Sus scrofa: one gene and its partner. The protein of the gene in region 1 interacts with the protein of each later gene in a pairwise test. Links are inferred from orthologs where the notes say so. Each region holds a gene or a part of one and is shown in the gene's direction. Other genes may lie near its edges. The genes, in order: CCND3 and VDR.

Region 1 (4,347 bases):
TGTTCCTGTGGCATATGGAGGTTCCCAGGCTAGGGGTCTAATCAGAGCTGTAGCCACCGGCCTACACCAGAGCCACAGCAACACGGGATCCAAGCCGCGTCTGCGACCTACACCACAGCTCACAGCAACGCCGGATCCTTAACCCACTGAGCAAGGCCAGGGATCGAACCCGAAACGTCATGGTTCCTAGTCAGATTCGTTAACCACTGCGTCACAAGGGGAACTCCACTAGGTTCTTCTTTTTCTTAAATCCTAATACTCTCTCAAGACAGAGCACAGATGTTTGGTTGACTCAGAAGGCCCCTTGTTTCCTGGTACTTACAGCTCTGCAGCATCTCTGTCAGTGTTTCCACAGATGCTTTCTCAGCGCTCTCAAACCCTGCCTCTGTTAACAGGGAGCTCACAACCACTTGCAGAGTTCGCCTCCGGGCCAGATGGTAGTTATCAGCAGGGTTAGTGGACTGTTTACTTCCTGATCTCTGTAAATCAGCAGCCCAGAAAGAGAATACTTTCATCCTCAGGACGAGGATGCAGTCATGTAGTTCACATATTGTCAATGGCAAACAAAGGTTCTTTTGCTAAATCTTTATGTATCAGTGTGGTAGCTCCTGATGTTTAGACTTACAGCTCTTCGCCAAATAACTGAGCACCCAAGTGGCTCTAAATTCGAAAACAGCCTTTCTGCCTAGGTAAAACTTATCAATTACAATAGTACAAAATGGCCGTTTCCTACTTTCTATTTTGGATTATCTGAATATATAGCTGAAGAAACATGCAGGATAGAATTGAATTCATTGGTCCATCTCCTAGAAAAAAAGTAATCTCTCTTTTGTCCCTCCCATCTCCACACCATTAACGAGGAAAATTAAAACAACAAACAACACATGCTGCTGAGTAGAGGAGGGCAAATGATAAGAACATCGACAAATTAAAAAGCTAAATATTTTGAAACAGGAATCCCTCCCAACTTTGGCGGGCCAATAAGAAGGCGAAAAGAGCCCCACTGGACCAATCAGGAGGTGTTCCGGGTTCCCAACCCCCAACAGAGAATGAGCCAATCAGTACACAGGTCCACCAACTCCCGAGGCCGCCGCCAAGTCTCGAGGAGGAGGAGGGGGGCATATACGGCCTGAAAGACCTTCCTCCACTCAGAGCATGTGGTGGGGCCCTATTTCTGGGTGTGAACATGTTGCCAAGGCTAGGGGGACATTACAGAATCCCCAGGCTCTCTGGGCTTCCGCCCCGCGCCTCCCGCCCTTACCGTTCCGGAGGCCCCGGCCCCGGCAGTGGCCGCCGCGTCGGCCATCTTGCTCTGGCGTAATGTGCGCGAGCGCACGGCAGGATGGGACTTGTAGTCACCCGGCGGGGAGGAACCGCGAGGGGGCGGGGCCGCGCGCCCCGTTGGGCTTTGTGGGGCCCAGCCGGGTCGGGGGTGAGTCTGGTTATCCCGGTTCACGTGACCTGTGAACGGTGGGTTCAGCGAGCCCCGGAAGTGGCTAGGAAAATGAGCCCTCGGTTTCACACCTATTTAAAAACGAAATCGTTTTTCATAAAAAGCACATCCCTGGAACGCTCCAAACTTGCCTGATTGTTAGCCACACCTGGCTAGGTCCGGCGGATCCCCGTGACTTTACTCTCTGGAGGAGGGGTCTTGGGCATCTGTATTCTTAAGTTCTCCAAGTGAGTCTCCTGAGCCTGGATATTTGGGGAAGCTTTGTTTTGTGCTGACGGACCCAGAGCCAGCCAATGGCCCACTTGGAACGAGAGCCAGCAGTCACGTAATCCAGGTGTGCCACTGCATCCGGCTGCCTTCTCGCCCTCAATTAACCCTCAGGTATTTTTGGGGCGAGCCGGGAGGCGTCGGCGGTAGGAGGCTGTCCGGTGCCTGCCTCACTCCCAGGCCGTGGAGTCTACGTAGTGCCTGTGGTTTTCTGCGGTTCACTCGCGGGTCAGCCCCTCTGGATGGGGGTCCTTCATGCACCGCGCCTCGTCTGTCTCCGTTTGCGGGTGCCCGGCAGCTCGCAGAGGCTGGGTTTGAATCTCAGCACTCGCCAGCTGTGGGACTTCGGGCAAATTACCTAACCTCACTTTGCCTCAGTTTCCTCTTTCGTGAAATTAGGGTGGGATGGGTAGCCGCGGGGGAGGGAATAAGCTAATATACACAGAGTTTATCACTGTGCAGACTGAGAGTAAGAGGTCAAGAAGCAGCGCCTAATGTTATTTATTTCTTGCGTGGCGAGTGGATGAGCAGAAAACGCTCACATGCAGAAGTCGGGGAAACCTGCGCCACGCCTGCCCCGCCGCGCGCACCTGAGCGTGGGGGGCGCCCGGTCCCCTCACCTGGGGCACAGGGGGCAGGTCTGACGGTCGGGGTCGCTGCGCGGGGTGAGCCACCCGGAGAAATCGGGCCCCAAACCTGAGTTGAGCAGAGCACCCAGCCCCTTTGTCTCCTCCGCCCCCCCTTCCCCACTTCCTGCCCAGCTTTAAACTCGGGATTGGCGGCGCGGCGCCGACTTTGTAAACACGCCGCGCCTGCGGCGGTGGAGACTGGTTCTGTTTGGGCGTCTGGGGGAGGGGTGCACGCCCCTCCCCGCGGCTGGAGGTGGCGACCCCCCACCTCGCCAAAGACAGAAACCAGAGGCGGCGGCGGGAGAGTGTCTGCGGCCACGGCCAGTGCTCCGGGGGGCTCACCTGCCGAGGAGGTAGGCTTGAAGGCTGGAGAAGCCAAGATAGATGGGTGTCAGCATCTCCCCGCTTCGCTGGGGCCTTCGAGCTGAGGCGGGACACCTGGGCGGGGAGTCGGAGGTGGCGACCTGATCAGCCTCCTCGATGTCTCTCAAAGCTCGGTTCACTTTCTCTCTGAGTTGCAGAGGCTGAAAGGCAGAGAGCTCCCCCAAAGCTCTGAACTTTCTCTGTGTCCACACAGGCCCTCTTCAAACTGATCTGGAAGCCTAGTGACTTCACTGGGCTGTCTGTCGTCCTTCTTCATAATTCAGAGATGGGGTGGGAGGCAGTAGGGGGGCAGACCCAGTGTGGGCAGCGAGCCTTGGGGGTCCTCCTGCCAGCCAGGGCTGAGGGAGGAGGCCAGAGGACTGGAAGGAGGAGCCTCTCAGTGGGGGTCCCTTTGGTGTCTGCGGGTTACACAAGTGACGGCTTTAGCCTCTTCTGTGTCTTTTAATGTGTCAACAAGAGGATTAACTGAGGAAATTGGTTGCTATTATTCAGAAAGCATTACGGTATTCATTTGCACACATTGAGCGCCTAGTATGTGTCTGGGATGGTGTGTGGGCGCTGAGGGTGCAGTGATGTTATTTGTCCACAGTGATCTAGCCTGGGTCATAGAACACCAGAGATAAGGTGCCAGGTTGGGGTGGCTGGGAAGGCTTCAGAGAGAAGAGGACATTTGAGTTGGCTTCTGAATGATGACTAGTCCCCAGGCAGAGGTGTGATGGGAAGTCTTTGCTGGGCACTTATTGATTCTGCAGAGCTGGACTCGCCCCTGACTGTGGCATTGGGCCTTGGAAAACAGTGGGCACCCAGAAGCCGTCTCGGCATTCTTTAACCCACTGTCTAGACATGAAGAAGAGATAGGAATGTAACAGGATGACTTTAGGGAAAGGCATGTGTCCGGGCTGGTCCCCAAGAACCCAGAAATTTCCAGCTGGACGAAGCTAGGAGAGTCCACCCCAGGGGTGATGTAACAGTCCACACAGTCCTGGGGCACCACCCACTCCCCGTCCCTGGATGCTGGGACTGCGTCCTCTACCAAGTCCTTGCACTGTGCCCTTTCTCTTTGGGACCAGAGAGTGAAGAGAACTGGATTCCCCCCATGCTTCCCTGTAGGTTCTTCTGCTTTTTCAGTCCCCAGGCTCCCTTGGGAGATGGCTGACACAGCAATGGATTCAACCATCCAACACCTGTTTGCTGTGGCCACACTGTCTGCACAGGACATAATGGTTGACAAGTCAGAGCCTCTGCTCCCCTGGACTTTAGGATCAAAAGCGACTCTGAGAATTCCAGCAGGAACCTAGTCTGTCCGGTCCTTGAGCCCATGACCTCCGAGTGTCTTCTCTTTGCCATTTCCTTCCCTAAAGGGTCCAGAGCAACAGCTAGGGCTTCTATAGCACTGTCAAGTACCCTCCTAAATGGTTTTGGTGTGATGTCTGGTTTAATTCTTCTGCCCGTCCTGTGAGGTGAGCGCTAGGATCATCTCCATCTTCTCGTTGAGGAAACAGGCACAGCGACCATTTTCCTAAAGAGGACACCAGGCGTAAATGGCAGGGCTGGGATTTGAACCCAGGTCGCTTGACTTGGGAGACCTGGGTCAGCTGACCTGTTCTTAACCAT
Region 2 (3,809 bases), on another chromosome or scaffold:
ATCTGCTCTGTGCTAGGCCTGCATTCAGATCCCAGAACAGTCTGGTGCTCCACCTACACCCACTTTATGAAGGAGGGAACAAAAAAAGGACTTGGAAGAGATCATATGGTCCAAACTTCCATCGTTCCCACTGTGGCTCAACGGGATCAGCAGCGTCTCGGTGGCAGCAGGATGCAACTTAGATCCTCAGCCCTGCACAGTGGGTTAAAGGATTGGAGGTCCCGTTGTGACACAGTGGAAAGGAATCTGACTAGGAGCCATGAGGTTGCGGGTTCGATCCCTGGCCTCGCTCAGTGGATTCAGGATTCGGCGTTGCCATGAGCTGTAGTGTAGGTCGCAGACACAGCTCGGATCTGGCGTTGCTGTGGCTCCGGCATAGGCCGGCGATAACAGCTCCAATTGGACCCCTGGCCTGGGAATCTCCACATGCCGCTGGTGCAGCCCTAAAATAAAACCGAAAAGACAAAAAAAAAAAAGATCTCATGTTGCTGCAGTTGCAGTGTAGGTCACAGCTGCAGTTCAGACCTTATCCTTGGCCTGGGAACCTCATATGCCACAGAGTGGCCCAAAACAAAAAAGAGAGAGATCATATGGTCCAAATGTCTCACTTTAGAAAAAAGCAAACAAAAACCTGCAGAGTTCAGTTTGTCCAGAGTCAGACACCTTGTCCTTGAGATCCCAGGCTCCCCACCGTCCCACCTCCCACATCCTGTTTCCTCCTCTCTGCCGAGCCTGCCTTTCAACGTGCAACACTGATGGTCCATCCGTCTCGTGGCCTTGGCGTCCCCCTCACACCTCGTGCCTTTGCGCCCTGAGGGAGGTTCCACAGAGGCGGTGCAGGCCCGGCCCCCCTGACTCGCCCCTCCCCGCCCCACAGTCATCCTGACGGACGAGGAGGTGCAGCGCAAGCGGGAGATGATCCTCAAGCGGAAGGAGGAGGAGGCCTTGAAGGACAGTCTGCGGCCTAAGCTGTCGGAGGAGCAGCAGCGCATCATCGCCATCCTGCTGGACGCCCACCACAAGACCTATGACCCCACCTATGCTGACTTCGGCCAGTTCCGGGTACGTCCACCCGCTGGCCGGGAGCATGAGCAGGGCTGGCAAGTGGGCTAGAGGGCAGGGGGATCCCCGCACAAAACCTGGGAAGGGGAGTTCCCGTTGTGGCTCAGTGGTGATGAACCTGATTCGTACCCATGAGGACGTGGGTTCAATCCCTGGCCAGGCTCCGTGGGTTCAGGAGCTGCGGTGTAGGTCGCAGACGCCGCTCAGATCCCACGTTGCTGTGGCTGTGGCATAGGCCAGTGACTACAGCTCCAATTCGACCCCTAGCCTGGGGACCCCTCCCATAGACCCTCCGTGAAACCAATCCTGTCGGAGGTCAGAGCTGAGGCAGGAAGGGGGCCTCCAAATACGAGCTTCTGACACTCTACCTCTCCCTTCCAGCCTCCGGTTCGCGGGGATGAGGAGGAAGGGACCCTCCCCTCCAGGTCTTCCTCCGCGCATGCGCCCAGCTTCTCCGGAAGCTCGTCCTCTTCCTGCTCAGATCAATACACCTCCTCTCCAGGTAAGTGGGGCTACCGCCCCCTCCCCAAGAGCCCGGAGCTTCCCCAGACCCCTGACCTTGGCTGCGGCTGGATGGGCAGCACTCTGTGCTGTGCGGCGTCCTCAGAACAACCTCTTTTTAATGCACACGAGGGTCCACACTGAGGACACTGAGGAAGAGGCCAAGCTGTGGTGGTGGTGGGGGGTCTGCCTGTAGAGTCAATTTGCTTTCCTCTAAGCCAGCCTTCTGCCCCTGGCTCCTTCCCTGGGAGCGACCTGGTTCCTCTAAATGGTATTTTGAGCCTGGGCCTTTGGGGTTTTTCTTTTGTTTGGTGTTTGGTTTTGTTTTCCCCAGTTTTCTTGAGATGTCACTGACATAACATTGTGTAAGTTTAAGGTGTACGATATAATGATTTGATAGAAGTATACATTGCAAAATGATTGCCACAGTAAGTTTAGTTAATCTCACATAGTTACAAAGATTTTTATTTTATTTCCTTTTCGGCCATGCATGAGCCAAGGGCAAGTTCCTGAGCCAGGGATCGAACCCATACTACAGTAGCGACAACGCCAGATCCTTAACCCACTGAGCCACCAGGGAACTCCTACAAAGTTGTTTTTTTTTTCTCCTCTGTGATAACTTAGAGATGTACTCCCTTAGCAACCTTCAAATATAATAAACTGTATTGTTAACTACAGTCATCAGACCCTGTGTCTTTGCAGAGTGAAACTTGGCATGGAAGGAGATGTGGATCCCACCGCAGCCCATCTTCCCCTCAATCCCCGGGGGGGCCAGTAAGGCCCTGGATGACCTATTCCTTCTAGTTCATCTTTGCTTTTTTCTTATGGTCCTTTTCTGCCTTCCTCTTTATCTTCCTGCCTTACCAGCTGCCCTTGCCTTCATCCTTCACCCAACCCAACTGCCCTTTGCTTGGGGCCTGTGGGAGGGCAGGAATGGAAAAGCCCCCTCCCTTCTATGGAACTAGAACCCTCAGACAGGGTACTTCTCGGTTCATTTATGGGTCTGTGCCCGGATCCAGAGTAGGTGGGAAGGGTCCATGCACCAGGTGGACAGAGATGGCAGAGGAGCTGGTTGTCATGTCCACTCACCTGCACTACCACCACACGGGTAACTCATCCTCTGAGCCCCTCACCTTGTAGAAACCTCTCCCCAGTGTTAATTTTCTCAACCCACCTTCCTGCTCCTTTTACTTGCTGGTATATTCATTTTAATCAATGAGGGCCAGTCTGCATGTGATACATTGGTCTGTACTTCAACTTTTAATGGTTTTATTTAGAAGTTTTGACTCCCTCTCATTGGTTAATTTGAGGAGCTCCCCCCTCCGCCATGGTATGTTCAATGTAGCATATGTTTATTTAAAAATTCAAACTAATTAACATTTTTTATTTTTTTAATTATTATATGAAGGTAATACATGTTCATTATAGACATTCAGAAAATAGAAACTAAATTATGTAGATTACATATATTATATAATCTTTCATCACACCACCCCAAAATAATCACTACTGACACTACGATATATCTTTTTCCCAAGTTTTAATACATATGTATATTCAGAAATGGAATCATGCCATACTTAGCCTGCCAACTTGCTTTTTTCTCTTAATAGTGTATTATGTCATATTTTCATGCCATCCACTACACGCCTAGAGTATAATTTTTAAAGACTGCTTAGTATTCTGCAGTATAATGTACAATAACATATCTAAATCTCCTCTCCTTGGATACGTGGATTTTTCTTTTTCCCAGCTTGTTATTAAGTGAACAGCATGCTGGTGGCTAAATATTTGCACTTGCTCTGAACTTTTCCTTGTGCTGAATTCATGGAAGTAGGATTACTGGTCATAGTGTGTACATAGTTGTAGGCTTTGGACCCTCATGGTCCAATAACTTTCCAGATTACTTACACAAATTTATGCCTCCTTTAGTACACCAGCACTGCACAAGGATTGCCTGATTCCCTGCATCTTTACAAATACTGGTATCAACATTGAAAGGAACTTGTGGAGTTCCTGCTGTGGCACAGTGGGTTATGAATCCAACTGCAGCGGCTTGCAGAGGTGTGAACTGGCACAGTGGGTTAAAGGGTCCAGCATGGCTGCACCTGAGGCTCAGATTCAATCCCTAGTCTGGGAACTTCCATATGCTTTGGGTGCGGCCATAAAAAAATAATAAAAATAAATGCACTTGTTTCTAGTTTAAGGATGAAAAGTAGATGCTCTACTTGGCTGTTCGTTGGTTA

What was found.
Region 2: the proteins of CCND3 (region 1) and VDR interact in a two-hybrid assay, tested with the Homo sapiens proteins (2 studies listed by BioGRID and IntAct). The link is inferred for Sus scrofa from reciprocal best matches to the Homo sapiens genes CCND3 and VDR.

Annotation. Positions count from the first base shown.
Region 1 is NC_010449.5:37,179,518-37,183,864, reverse strand, and holds the start of CCND3 (G1/S-specific cyclin-D3), read left to right. Parts: upstream 1-1,402; 5' UTR 1,403-1,787; exon of another isoform or gene 1,788-4,347. Other genes in the region: TAF8 (transcription initiation factor TFIID subunit 8), read right to left, coding at 323-479, 1,262-1,306. UniProt on the Homo sapiens protein: Regulatory component of the cyclin D3-CDK4 (DC) complex that phosphorylates and inhibits members of the retinoblastoma (RB) protein family including RB1 and regulates the cell-cycle during G(1)/S transition.
Region 2 is NC_010447.5:78,217,838-78,221,646, reverse strand, and holds part of VDR (vitamin D3 receptor), read left to right. Parts: intron 1-877; coding exon 878-1,062; intron 1,063-1,443; coding exon 1,444-1,564; intron 1,565-3,809.